3 linked regions of the Daphnia pulex genome follow. The protein of the gene in region 3 purifies or fractionates together with the protein of the main gene of each other region. This does not show direct contact. Links are inferred from orthologs where the notes say so. Each region holds a gene or a part of one and is shown on either strand. Other genes may lie near its edges.

What was found.
Region 1: the proteins of DNA-directed RNA polymerase III subunit RPC3-like (region 3) and DNA-directed RNA polymerase III subunit RPC8-like purify together in Homo sapiens (affinity purification with mass spectrometry; 5 studies listed by BioGRID and IntAct, with this or other methods). This does not show direct contact. The link is inferred for Daphnia pulex from reciprocal best matches to the Homo sapiens genes POLR3C and POLR3H.
Region 2: the proteins of DNA-directed RNA polymerase III subunit RPC3-like (region 3) and importin subunit alpha-1-like purify together in Homo sapiens (co-immunoprecipitation; 3 studies listed by BioGRID and IntAct, with this or other methods). This does not show direct contact. The link is inferred for Daphnia pulex from reciprocal best matches to the Homo sapiens genes POLR3C and KPNA2.

The regions. Positions count from the first base shown.
Region 1 is NC_060017.1:5,958,847-5,962,017, reverse strand, and holds DNA-directed RNA polymerase III subunit RPC8-like, read right to left. Parts: upstream 1,770-3,171; 5' UTR 1,598-1,769; coding exon 1,487-1,597; intron 1,424-1,486; coding exon 1,240-1,423; intron 1,180-1,239; coding exon 1,042-1,179; intron 966-1,041; coding exon 835-965; intron 743-834; coding exon 692-742; 3' UTR 627-691; downstream 1-626. Other genes in the region: cellular tumor antigen p53-like, read right to left, coding at 2,080-2,220, 2,294-2,582, 2,652-2,913, 2,981-3,122.
Region 2 is NC_060028.1:48,964-53,394, forward strand, and holds importin subunit alpha-1-like, read right to left. Parts: upstream 2,832-4,431; 5' UTR 2,679-2,831; intron 2,446-2,678; exon of another isoform or gene 2,408-2,445; 5' UTR 2,385-2,407; coding exon 2,322-2,384; intron 2,256-2,321; coding exon 2,087-2,255; intron 2,027-2,086; coding exon 1,879-2,026; intron 1,820-1,878; coding exon 1,564-1,819; intron 1,507-1,563; coding exon 954-1,506; intron 890-953; coding exon 612-889; intron 431-611; coding exon 329-430; 3' UTR 84-328; downstream 1-83.
Region 3 is NC_060018.1:10,223,204-10,227,621, reverse strand, and holds DNA-directed RNA polymerase III subunit RPC3-like, read right to left. Parts: upstream 2,831-4,418; 5' UTR 2,653-2,830; intron 2,565-2,652; 5' UTR 2,436-2,564; coding exon 2,277-2,435; intron 2,217-2,276; coding exon 2,089-2,216; intron 2,031-2,088; coding exon 1,900-2,030; intron 1,844-1,899; coding exon 1,570-1,843; intron 1,506-1,569; coding exon 1,140-1,505; intron 1,070-1,139; coding exon 877-1,069; intron 812-876; coding exon 641-811; intron 561-640; coding exon 414-560; 3' UTR 225-413; downstream 1-224. Other genes in the region: uncharacterized protein LOC124188665, read left to right, coding at 49-77, 3,394-3,952, 4,041-4,418. UniProt on the Homo sapiens protein: DNA-dependent RNA polymerase catalyzes the transcription of DNA into RNA using the four ribonucleoside triphosphates as substrates.

The sequences.
Region 1 (3,171 bases), on a different chromosome or scaffold from region 3:
AACGCGTCGAACCGATTTGAAACCGAAACGACCGTTGGAGATTCAAAACAGCTTCGACTGCAATTTACACAACTTGTTTCTTGCTTGTTTAATTTGTCTTTTACATCGTTCAATACAGAATTTTAAATTATTTACACATGAAATTCAGAATTCAAAGTATCTCAAAGTTTCCAATTAAATAAGGCGAGGCGAATAAACTGTGAGAATTACAAATAATGAAGTTCGCCCCGAACACCATTAAAAAAGCGTTCACTTCGATTAAACACATTTGTTTCACAAACGGGTGTTAAATAATAATAGCTGAAATGCTGAATATTCAAGTTTATTTAACCTCAAAATAATTATTTTTACTCGAAGTTCATAAGATAAGTTCAACCGAATTAAACAATTTTTGCTGAACAGAAGAACATAGACGTATATCTTTGAATTGACCCTTTGCGTTAGTAGGAACATTTTTTCTTAAAAACAAATTTAGAATAAGGCTTTCGTTAAATGCATTGCATTTTAAATCAATGCATTTTCAGTTTTTCTAAAAGGACTGTCAAAAAGGCTGAGATTTTCCTATTTTTAAAAGATGGCCTGTGGTTCCTTCCTTACGATAAGAAATAAAGTGTAAATATCGAAAATTAGAAAAAACACATTGGTGAAGTTTATTGATTTAAATATCGCAACATTTCACAGCTTCAAGACTTCAGCTAGCCCACCAAGAGAGCAAACCTAATCCTGATTCATTGATAGATGCCTATAATTGCAAATAAACAAAACATTAAAGTTTTACACATGAAAGTAAAAGAAATTTAACTATAGTAATGTTTCGGATTTCAAATTACGCACATTTATGCGATACGACAACCTTTTATTGTCTTTTATTGGATCTAGAGATGAGTCAGGTGCTTCATTACTGGGGCCAGAAGGTGTTGTATCAATGAAATACTCAGCAACTACTTTAAATCGGATTTCTTCACCTAAAAGAATACAATTACAATCAACACAAAAAGATAATTATCATAAAATTATGCTGTTATCTGTTTTTTTATAAACCTGTATCCATGAAAAGGTCATGTTTTCCATCTTCTGTTTGATATTCCCAAATCCAAAGATGTTCAGTTTCATCAAATCTGGAGTTTTTTTGCAAGTTCTCAGAAGAAATGAAGATGTCCTCAAAGAATCCCAAAGAAACTTGATGCAAATTTTTGATTATGCACAACTGTTAATAACAAATGAATAATCTTCAGTTACCTTGGACTGATTCCTTATCACAGTTTTTGATTCTACCAACAAGAATCTGCTCCATAAAAGGCCTGAATACTACATAACGAAATTCAACTTTGGTATGATGGCCACCATCACCTGGCAAAATGAAACTTTCTCCTCGTTTAATTATATCCCACAGAGCAATGCACAGTCCAACATCCAGAACTACCTAAATGAGAACAAATATTTTACTAATAAATGCATATGTCAATCATCATAGGAATTTAATTACTTTATTAGCAAACTTTAAGTTCAATTCTTCCGAAATAGCTTGATCAATATCCCGATTGAATTTTTCTGAAGGAACTCTTACAGTCTGCTTGACAAGAGCTAGAACGAACATGGTTTAAACAATTAACTAATAAGCCCAAAGATTTATTTTGATTCAGTGTGGTCCGTCTGTGTGTTTCGTGTTTATTAAGCACGAACAAAGTCGTGAAACACCGGCTAAGCACGTTGTTTCTTTTAACTTCTACACGTGTAATGTCGTCTGCTACTCATGCAAGTGGGCGGGGCCGGGGTTACACTTTAAACCAGCTAGTCCAACTTGGCAACTTCCAACTCAACTCTAGTTCTAAATTCGAAGAATAAAATCTAAAAAATAATTAAATTTTCATTGAAAAATTCCATTAGAAAATGGATAATTTCTTTTAGTCATACTAAGTTTATTCGGCACATCATTGGCATGTTACAGAGTTACACGCTGTTAAATGAATTTGTGAAAAATCGGTTTAATTTTAATGATCATGCCAATAATTCAAGAAACATTAAAAAAGAATAAAACTGTATTTTGAAACGACTCTTTTTAAGGGAAGACTTCACGATTTAAGGCTCCTCTTTTTTAAAACGTTTCCCAGTATCAGTATGATTAGCCTGATCATTGTTTCCGGGGGGAAAGCCATCGTAGTCATGTTGAAAACGACTTATAATATCTTTGATGAAATTATAATTTTTGAGTCCTTTAATCTATATTTAAAAAATATTATTAAAATAGTGAATTAGTAGGACAATTGTGTTAAGTGATGATGAATAAAGTTACATTGACGTTCAAGTTGTAGATTCCGTCATCGTCTTCTGTCGAATCTGTTTGCGCGACCAGAGGAGGAGGAGGAGGAAGAACAGCTCTTCTTTTTTTAATTTTTCCTTTCAACTGGGCCATGGAAGGAAGCTCGATAGGAATCAAGTTTGAAGAGTCTGTTTCGCTGGCAGTGGGATCATGTGAATGCATTTTATCAAATCTTGCTTCTTCAGCCCTAATATCCCGACCGGGACAGCTACATATACGAACATCACAGGCATATCGTCCAAAAACCTCGTATCGTCCTCCACTAGAAGAAGAAATGTAATGTAGGAATGTAGTTTTAATAATTATAAAAATTCTCTCATGGACAACTTACTTTGTCACAGACTCTAATGTAAAGATCAGTTTGGTGGGTCGTCGGTTCAAGCCTCCTTGGCAGCTAGACAGGCACATGAATTTGTAACACAATGACACTGACTGGGTCCCGGGAGCAGGAGGCTTCAGTGGAACGACAACCGAATGCCGCATATCATTGTGATCGACATATGTTGAATCATTGTCATCACAACGCAATACATGTGGAGTATAGGGCAACGGTGGACCAGTCCCCTTGTGGGCTGGGCACCGTTCAACGGGATCTATAGGAAGAAAATTTAAATAAATTGTTAAAAGGATACAGAGAAACGTTTAAATGTTATTATTTGCCTTGAAAGTGATCAGCCTTTGAATACACCATTTGTCCCCGAATGCAATATCTGTGGAATTCCTGTGAAAGGTTATCCATTCTAAAGGAAATTGGGCAGGCCTTATCCATACTAACAAACAGCTTCTTCAGTTTTGTGGAATACTAAGAAAAATAATGTATGTGTCAAATATAACATATAAGGAACTGTGTA
Region 2 (4,431 bases), on a different chromosome or scaffold from region 3:
GCAGCCAACAACCTGGAATCAGGAAATCAACTTGAAATACAAAAAATAAAAACTAGCACGACAAAATCAAAACTTATCAAATGTAGAGTTGATCGAGTTGTTTTGTATTGCTCGTTTATCGCGCATTGAGAAAGAGGAAAGAAGACGTCGTGCATGGACAGAAATGAAAGCAAATGGCAACTTTCAATTAAAAAACAATTTAGAAAAAAACTTTGAAATAAGAAAAGGCCAAAACTCATGATTAGGATAGCGTTCAAGAAAGTGAAGAATATATTTACCGTTGTAAAGGCAGAAAAAAATCAAAAAGAATTTTTAGATTATACAAAATTTAGAATGAGAAACCTCCTTCGGGGGCTTGAGATGGCGAGTTGTTGAATTCGTAATTGCCACTCTGCGATGTAGATGGCGCCAACTCGGAATCTTCATCCCCCTGTCGAAATAACAAACAAAAACGATTAAATCAAATTCAAGAACACTATTTCAAAATAAAACTAATTTTCTAAAATCTCAGTAATGGTTAAGTTGTCAGCACAAACACTATGAATGTGAACAGTTGTGGTAATCATTGAAATAAACCCAAAAAAAGAAACAATAAAAAAAGAATAAATTACGTCAGTTGAGAAGTACTGCTCCAGAATGGCCAATGACTTGTGATAGATTTCAACATTGTCGTGGCTCTGCAGAGCTTCGATGCGGTCCAGACCACCACACTCTTCGACGTGAAGGGAAACTTTCTCCAATTCACCCATTTTCTCAGCTGCGGCCAAAATATTAGCCAATCCATCCAGCACGACCAAGATGGTCTTGGGTTCCTTTGCCTCCAGCAAAGTGCACAGCGGAGCGATGGCACCAAACTGGCACAACAAGGCGATCTGCTCCACATTGCCACCTGAAATGAATAAGAAAAATCAATTAAAAATCAATAAAACACCAGTAAAAATGAAATAAGTTACCTAAAGTGATGTTGGTGATGGCCCAAGCTGCCTCCTTTTGGCATTTGAAGTCACCTTTGCCCAGCACATCCACCAACGGACGAATAACATTGTTGGTGATGAGAGCCTGAATCTGGATGGCATTGCCGGCAGCAATGTTGGACACGGTCCAGGCAGCCTCCTTGACGATGTTCATCTTAGCATGAACGAGTAACTTGGCCAGCAACGGGCAGGCACCAGCAGCCAGGACGGAATCGGTCTGAATGTCACTTCCTGTAACGATATTCCCGATTGTTCTCAGAGTGGGGGTGATCACGGCCACCTCAACGTGGTCCAGCAAAGCGACCAGCCGTGGGACGACACCGGCGTCGACAACCTCCTGAATCCGTTCGTTGGGGCCATCGGTGAGGTAAGAAAGAGCCCAGCAAGCATCGGCGAGGATCTCTTTGTCGTTGTTGTGGATCAGGTGGGCCAATGCGGGAAGCAGTTGCCGGACGGCAGGGACACTGGGCGGAGGATTCTTGTTACGACACAAGTTGGACAAAGTCCAAGTGACATTACGCAAGAATGTGGCCTATAGATCAAATCAATTAACAACTGCACACGAACGTAAATTTAAAATAAAACTCACCGAAGTATCAGGTTTAATCAAAGTAAGCAGAGGCTTGATAATGCCTTGCTCGATGACGTGATCACGAAGCTCTGGTCCGTCTCCGGCGATGTTACCCAGAGCCCAAACAGCTTGCTCTGCCACAACTGGATGAGGTGACCCCAACAGGGAAATGAAGCCAGCGACAGCCCCAGCACTGACGACAGCCTTTGTCTGGTCAGATGTGCCTGAAGCAATGTTGGTGAGAGCCCAGGCTGACTCAAACTGCAGATCGGGGCTGAAACAAAGAAAGACCATTAGGAAATGTTCAAAAACCAAAAGAGACACTTGACATACTTGCTGACACGACTGAGAAACTCCACCAGCTTCGGAACAACATTTGCATTAATGAGGATGTCAATGGGTGGATTACGTTCCCTGCTGAGGATTTTACGGGCAGCATGGGTTGCAGTGATCTCCTTGTTCTCATCACCACTGTTGATACCTAACGATAATGAAAAACATATGAGAAGCAACTCAGAAATAAAAACTGATGCACACATACCATTGACTATGTCCTCAATGCTCATATTTGCTGCAGCCATCCGATTCTGTTCTTGGAGTGGGCTGAGGGGCTCATCATCGATTTCAAGGTTACGTCTCTTCAACAAATGATCTTCCTTCTTGGCTTTCCGCAACTCAACATTCACCTCTGTACGTCTCCTCCTCATTTCCTGAACAAGAAAGATGAAAAATCTGTTACATTTGAGAACTGACACTAGTTATTTTAAGGTATTTACCTCAACATCTCTGCCTTTGTTCTTGAAGTCCTTCAACCGGCTGGGATTTGCTTCAGTAGGCATTGTGATAGTGTAATTTACTCCAGCTGTCAAAGAAAGAGAATTCTAAAAGGGATTTTCAAATCTGGCACAATGACAAAAGAAAAATGAGAAATGGGACTCGAGACAATGAAGCAACAAAGAGAAAAAATTTCCCGCGCCACGTGCAAAATTTCCCAGACTATGGCAGTCGTTAAAAATGTGTCAATGATGACTCATACCATTATTTCACAATTTGTTATAGTCGAAGCAAGAAGTAAACTATTATTCCACGTGGGAATGTCAGAAAAATTGAAAATTAATAGAGAGAGGAATTACCTGCGGGACTTGTGAGCAAGAATCAATTGATGAATGGTGACCGTTTGATCGCTAAGAGAATTCCAGACGACGAAGAAGAAGAAGGGGGAGGGAATTTCAAACCTAACCGTTGCCTGTTGCCAAATTTATTCATTGATGCAATCGGAATGGGATCAAATCTGGCAACGTATAAGCAGACGAGAAAATTTAAAATTTCAAAATAAGCAGAAAATGAAAAACGCCGATGGAGCTGGTCATAATAGAATTTAACTGAAATTGATAATTGATTTTAATAAGAATTTGTTACCATAGGATTTCTCATTAATTAACCTTCTGACTTAATGATCTGTTGGAAGTCTTTCTTTAAGAACATGATGTATGATGATGTCCAAATGACAGTGTCAGAGATCTCTCCCCTGGTTTAAACAGTTTTCATAAAACTAGCATCAACAATTTTTATGTTGGCAGGAAGAAGTTATACAAATATAGATCCAGTAATCTTGAACATTCAATTTATATAAAACTGTTTTCCAAACTAAAAAAGTGGCAAAAATTTGAATACCAGCCAGTGCCAGCCGATTCCTGAAAGCTTAAACTTTAGACTGCCATCTGGAAGAAAGAAAAGTTTTCTCCCACAACCCAAATTAATTTATACTAAATTTTCAAATATTTTTCAGACCAAATTTTCCATCAGTTGTAAGAGTATCATCCAAAATCAGTGTGAACAGAATCAACAGATAAAGTATGGAAGAAACTTCATTTTAATACATCTTCCTAACGAAATGAGGTAGGCCTAGCTGTGATACCAAACATACAGAATGAAATTTAGATTTACAATGTCTCTTGTCTGATCTCTAAACTTTCTGTAGAAATTAAAACGTTTTAATTGCTTTAAACACTAACAGTTGTGAATTCAAGTTATATATCTTATTTCATTTAATTTATTAAATCAGTGGCAGGCAAATAACTTTTATTTTTAAAAATCAGTTTCATCCGACTGCAAGAGGGGACCGTTTAGCCTTTCGACAAGTTTGATCAACAGAGCGTACCAAATATAGTTCAGTTGGAATCGCTAATTCCGACACAGGTGGTCGTAAAATCCGTGCTGGACAGTGTGCACGTAATACGTTAAACACATTTTTCAGTCTATACGTTTCTTAAAAACTAATCATATTCTGTGATTAGGTCACGTGTGCTAATAGACTCTAAAATTCCTTTTCATTTCCAATTTCCCCACAATTAGTTGCAATCCGCCGGGCAGTTCCAAAAGAAACGGAGAAATCCAACGTGAACAGCTGCAACTCCCGTCATCGGTTCAACTGGATTACAACGACCCTGCAAAGTTGGTGTTGCAGTTGGTGTTTATTCCAACACATTCGTATCACGTCCAATCATTTTCCAGCCCCTCGTAAATTGTCAAGTTTCATTTGAATCCGATAGTTCAACTGGCGCTACTTAAATAATCGACATAGAAAAATGCGGCTCGACTATAAAATGACGACCCACTTGGGCGTTTGAATTCCTAAACCCCCACGTCTGATCTCCTAGATAAAAAATGAAGTTCCTTCCGATTCTCTTCCTTCTGGTTGCCGTCTGCCTGGTTGTCGCCATGGTGAGTTGTTTTGACATTTCTCGTTTAAGTTTCAATCTGTTCCACGTCTCTTTTTTAATTGAACATAATGTGGCGCATTATTATTTGATGATGCACGAAACAGGAGGCCCAAACAACCAAGAAACCAACACCTGCAACGACCACCAGCAAGACACCAACAAC
Region 3 (4,418 bases):
AACTACGCATTACACTGTTTCTTAATTTTCTACCGATAAGGTGACACAATGACAAAATTGTCAACGAGCCCCATAACGTAAGTTTTGCTTATTTACATGTTTTTTCTTCATTCCCTTGAGGGTGTCTATTTCACAAAGCGCGCCTTTTGCTGTTGCTCTAGATAATTTTTCTTCGACTACAAACGGCTGGTTTTCTTTTTACTGAGTCATTTCTGCAAATACTTATGTTGAAAAATTCTTAGTTATTATTCTCGAACAAAATTTTACAATCCAAGACAATTTCGAGCGACACATGACATGAGTTAGGTTAAGGGATGATCCTTGATTGCTTTCTTGAACATCTTCGACAATTACGCAGCAGTTTCACATCCAAAACCCAAACCCAGACAACGTCAGATTCGTGACACCCAATGTTACAATTCCTTTGATTTAAACTTTAAATAACTTTCCAATATTAGGATTGTTTCGTCTGCCTGGGTTTGTCCTAACGTCAGATTATCACTCATTAAGTGAATTTTTTCCACTAAAGACTTTTCGGCAGGGTGCATCGTATCGGATAACTGTTACAATAGAAAAGTTTCGTAAGTCAAACAGTGGGAGTATTTTAATCAAGAGATTTGCGAAAATGGGAAATACTAACTTCTGCTATTTCCTCTTCGGGAACTCCATCATCTCCTTTTAGACGTTCAAGCATTGATTCCAACATGGCATGTTTTTCAAGCAGGCGTTTGTTTTCTGTCAAGTCGTGCATTTGCCGTACCATAGCGTTAAATAAGCCTTTGTAACTCGCTTCCAGTACTGTCCGGACAACCTGTGCAAGGAAGTATTTTTGCAATTACACAGCATCATATCAAGGTATTTATATTTCGTTCTCACCTGAGGTAAGTCGACGTGGTACAAAATGAAGGATTTGACCGGAGCAAAATTGGAAGTCCCCTTTTTCAGTTCCTTGATTTGTAGAAAGTTGTGTTCCAGCAATTTGTAGGTGAACATTTTGGCTTCCTTGGCCGGAATCATTGCAACATTCTGCATCTGGTCTTGTTCCATAAACTTCTGAATCCGAGTCAGTCTAAGAGTGTGAAACAAGAAGATTTAATGTTTTAGCATATCCTGAACCATTTTTAAAATTTCTGATCCACCTAAAGAGTCGTAAAGCTTTCGATCCAAATCTTTCTAGTACAATCGAGTCCAACGAAGCGCAAGCCAAATTTTCGAAAACTTTCGAATAGTCAAGATTGAATTGACCGCCACCAGCATCGCCCGGTTTGTCAATCAAACCAGCAGAATCCTCGTGCAGCACTCTCAAGTAGTGATCGAAATGTTCCAACAAAATCGGACTACTGTCGTTTTTTCTAACGGCATCCTTAATTACGTTGTAGGATACGGGAGTTGTTGCTGGTGAATCGGGGTTGCTACTTTCGCGCCAGAGCTTGAGGATTAAATGGTATAATTCGCCAGCTGTTGTATCCACTCTTCTGGCAGCAGCATTGACTAGAATCACATTCCTAAAAAACATTTTTTACATACAATAAAAATGGCAATTTAGGGTGGAGATAAATTTATTTCTACCTCAATTCAATGTCAAATCGTTCGTGATTTACACGCCAAATTATTTCGCTGTCGCAATGTCCGCCTAACTGAGTTGCTTTTTCTTTCAGCATTCTGGCTATAGGTTCAATCTCCACGTTTGGAACAGCAAATTTTTCTTTCTCTTCAATTTCAAGTGTGGGCACTTTTAGTAAAGTTGCGTTTTCTGCAAGCTTTGGGCATCTAATGATGAAGTTATCTTGGGCAAGTCTTTGAAAACTTTGATGGAGGGCTGAGGGACTTAAAACTTCACTATCTACAACGAATATAAGTATGGTTACTGTAATTTACAAAAATCAGGGCTGAAAATACCATTAGCTTCATTCAGCCTATTTGCTGAATGGAAAATAACATTGGAAGCACTTGCTTGTCCTAGATTTAGCAAGATCTCTAGCAGAATTTCTTCCGATGTCCCATAAATCCTCTTAATCATGTATAGATACCTGCAAAGTCAACTGTAAAATTTTAAAAGGAAATTACCACTATATAAGAAAAATGTACTTTGGGTATCTAATGAGACAGTAGACATTGTGATGCATCATTGAGTACTCTGCAACATTGTTATTCCGTTCACTTGCTTGGAATTTGACTAGGTTATGTTGAATCATCACAGCCAAAGCTTTCTTAACCTATGAAAAATGCAGAATTTTTAGAAAGTGTATCTTTAATATAGTTAAAATTGATCACACTTCGCGAATGGACAAGCCGGTTGCAGTACGTATGTCGGTCAACATACGATTGCCTCGCCTAAGTAAATAGGATCCGACTTGGCCGACAATTTCTCCATAGTAGTGGTTTAACAACTGGCTGCATACTTGGCTAAAGTGACCTAATGTAAACGATGACATTTTCTCGTTTGATTAGTTATGTTCCTTCGGAATCTAAAGAACATGTGCTCTTCAAACATCCACTAAACTACAACTTTTGAAACAGTATTTCTCAAAATGTTCGTCTGCAGCAAGGTATACTGATACTTCCTGCGTTGCCAAACGATACAAATGCAACCAAAAATTAGAAATCGAATTTTGCGTTTTATAAAAAATTAAACACGTGAACTTCCACTACCTGCGCATTTGAGCGGGGATCTTAGTCCTCAATCAATGAAAGACCTTGATGTGTAAAATTTCATGTTTTTCCCATTAAGTCTAAACAAATCAAAGTACAAGGTCACAGTGGGAACTGGGAAGCAACCCCTTTTTGCGAGGATGAAAAACGGCACGTGGCTATACTACGAACAATCAAAGAATGAGCTCCAAAAAGCCAAAACTGCACACGGTTATACCTTGGTCGAGGTATACTCTTCAAGATTTTACCTTGAAACACTTATAAAACTCGGCTGTGAATGGCCGTCGGACATCGGGAAGAGAATTTGCGTTCACCTTTTAATATTGTGTATGAGGCATTCGGCACGTGAAGTGCATCCCAAAAGGCGCTTGAACCCCAAAATTTTATTAGTGTAAAGTTTAGCGTTTAGGCTACGCTTACAGTGCAAAAGTGTTTTAGTAACAATTTTCCAAGTGTCTTTTATTATTCAAAAATGTGTTTCATCAACAAAATGTGGCAATCATTCGTGTAAAAAAAATGCCGCCTTTCGTATTCGAAAAACAGCCGTTTGGAATAAAATCTAACTTTGATTAATAATAGCGACATTTTCTTCGTAAGTTTTATTGATTTTATAAAAAATGTAATTTTAATTTTGTTTTCGCCAGAGAAAAATTGGATGCATCAGTAAACTGTCTAATTTATAATTTAATTTATGAAGTTTTCCTATCTTTGAACTCATATCTTTTTGTTTTCTCAACGCAGTGCGGTGGTGAGGCCGATCGCCGTGTCTAACTTAAGTGATAGCCGCAAACGCAAGTCTAGTCAAGACGTAGAAGGTGCCTATGAAGGTAGCTGGGCCATGAGACCGAAACCTCCGACGACGACAACACCGCCACCGTCGTCAACACCTTCATCGTCCGAAGAAGCATCTGCGCCTGGATTGGAGGAGGAAAACAAAGACGAAATGTTAAACATTTATTTTTGCATGGTTGACGCCCTGCTCCGATCAGCCGATGAAGAACGACCACTTCATTCCGCTCGTAATGAGCTAAATCAGAAACTAGGCCAATATGACGCAAATAAAAATAAAGATATGCGTCTTCGACTACTTAAACATTTTCAGAGTCAGGGAAAAGAGGCCAGAGATCTAGTGGGTCTTTTTCGCCTTCTTGATGTTATCTTGGACGATCACATGGACCTCGTCGAGATTCCTTGTAGGGACGAGGATGGATGTGAATGTTTTGATAATCGCATTTTGCCGATCATCATCAAGCGCTGCCCGAATCTTGGGAAACTTCACTTCCATTGCTCAAACGGCTTGGTAGGTTTTACGTTTTAGAAGTGACACATAAAATTATGTTTTAAACAAATGATAACTTAAGATATGTACTTATTTTATTAATTATTAGGCGCAAGACTGGCCAGAGACCATTGGTTTTTACATCAGCCAATTTACTTTTCTGACAAGCTTGCATTTAGACAAGGTTCCCATTCAGTGCAAATCCATCATCTCCGTTTTGGGAAAGTCTTGTCCGCGTCTAAAGTCCTTGCGTCTCGGTTTCGATAATTTACCTCTTTCTATCGACGAATTTTTGAGTATATTCTACTGTGGTGATTTGACCCTGCTGAGAAATGTCACTCCAGATGTTCCCTCAATCGAACACGACCAAAACCCGGCCACCGAACAGAAAAAGGCTTACAATGAATGTTGTGTGCCGCCTCATCTCTTATATTCATTCTGCCAAACCTTGGAAGAAATTCGGATAAATTATTTCAGCAGTAATGAG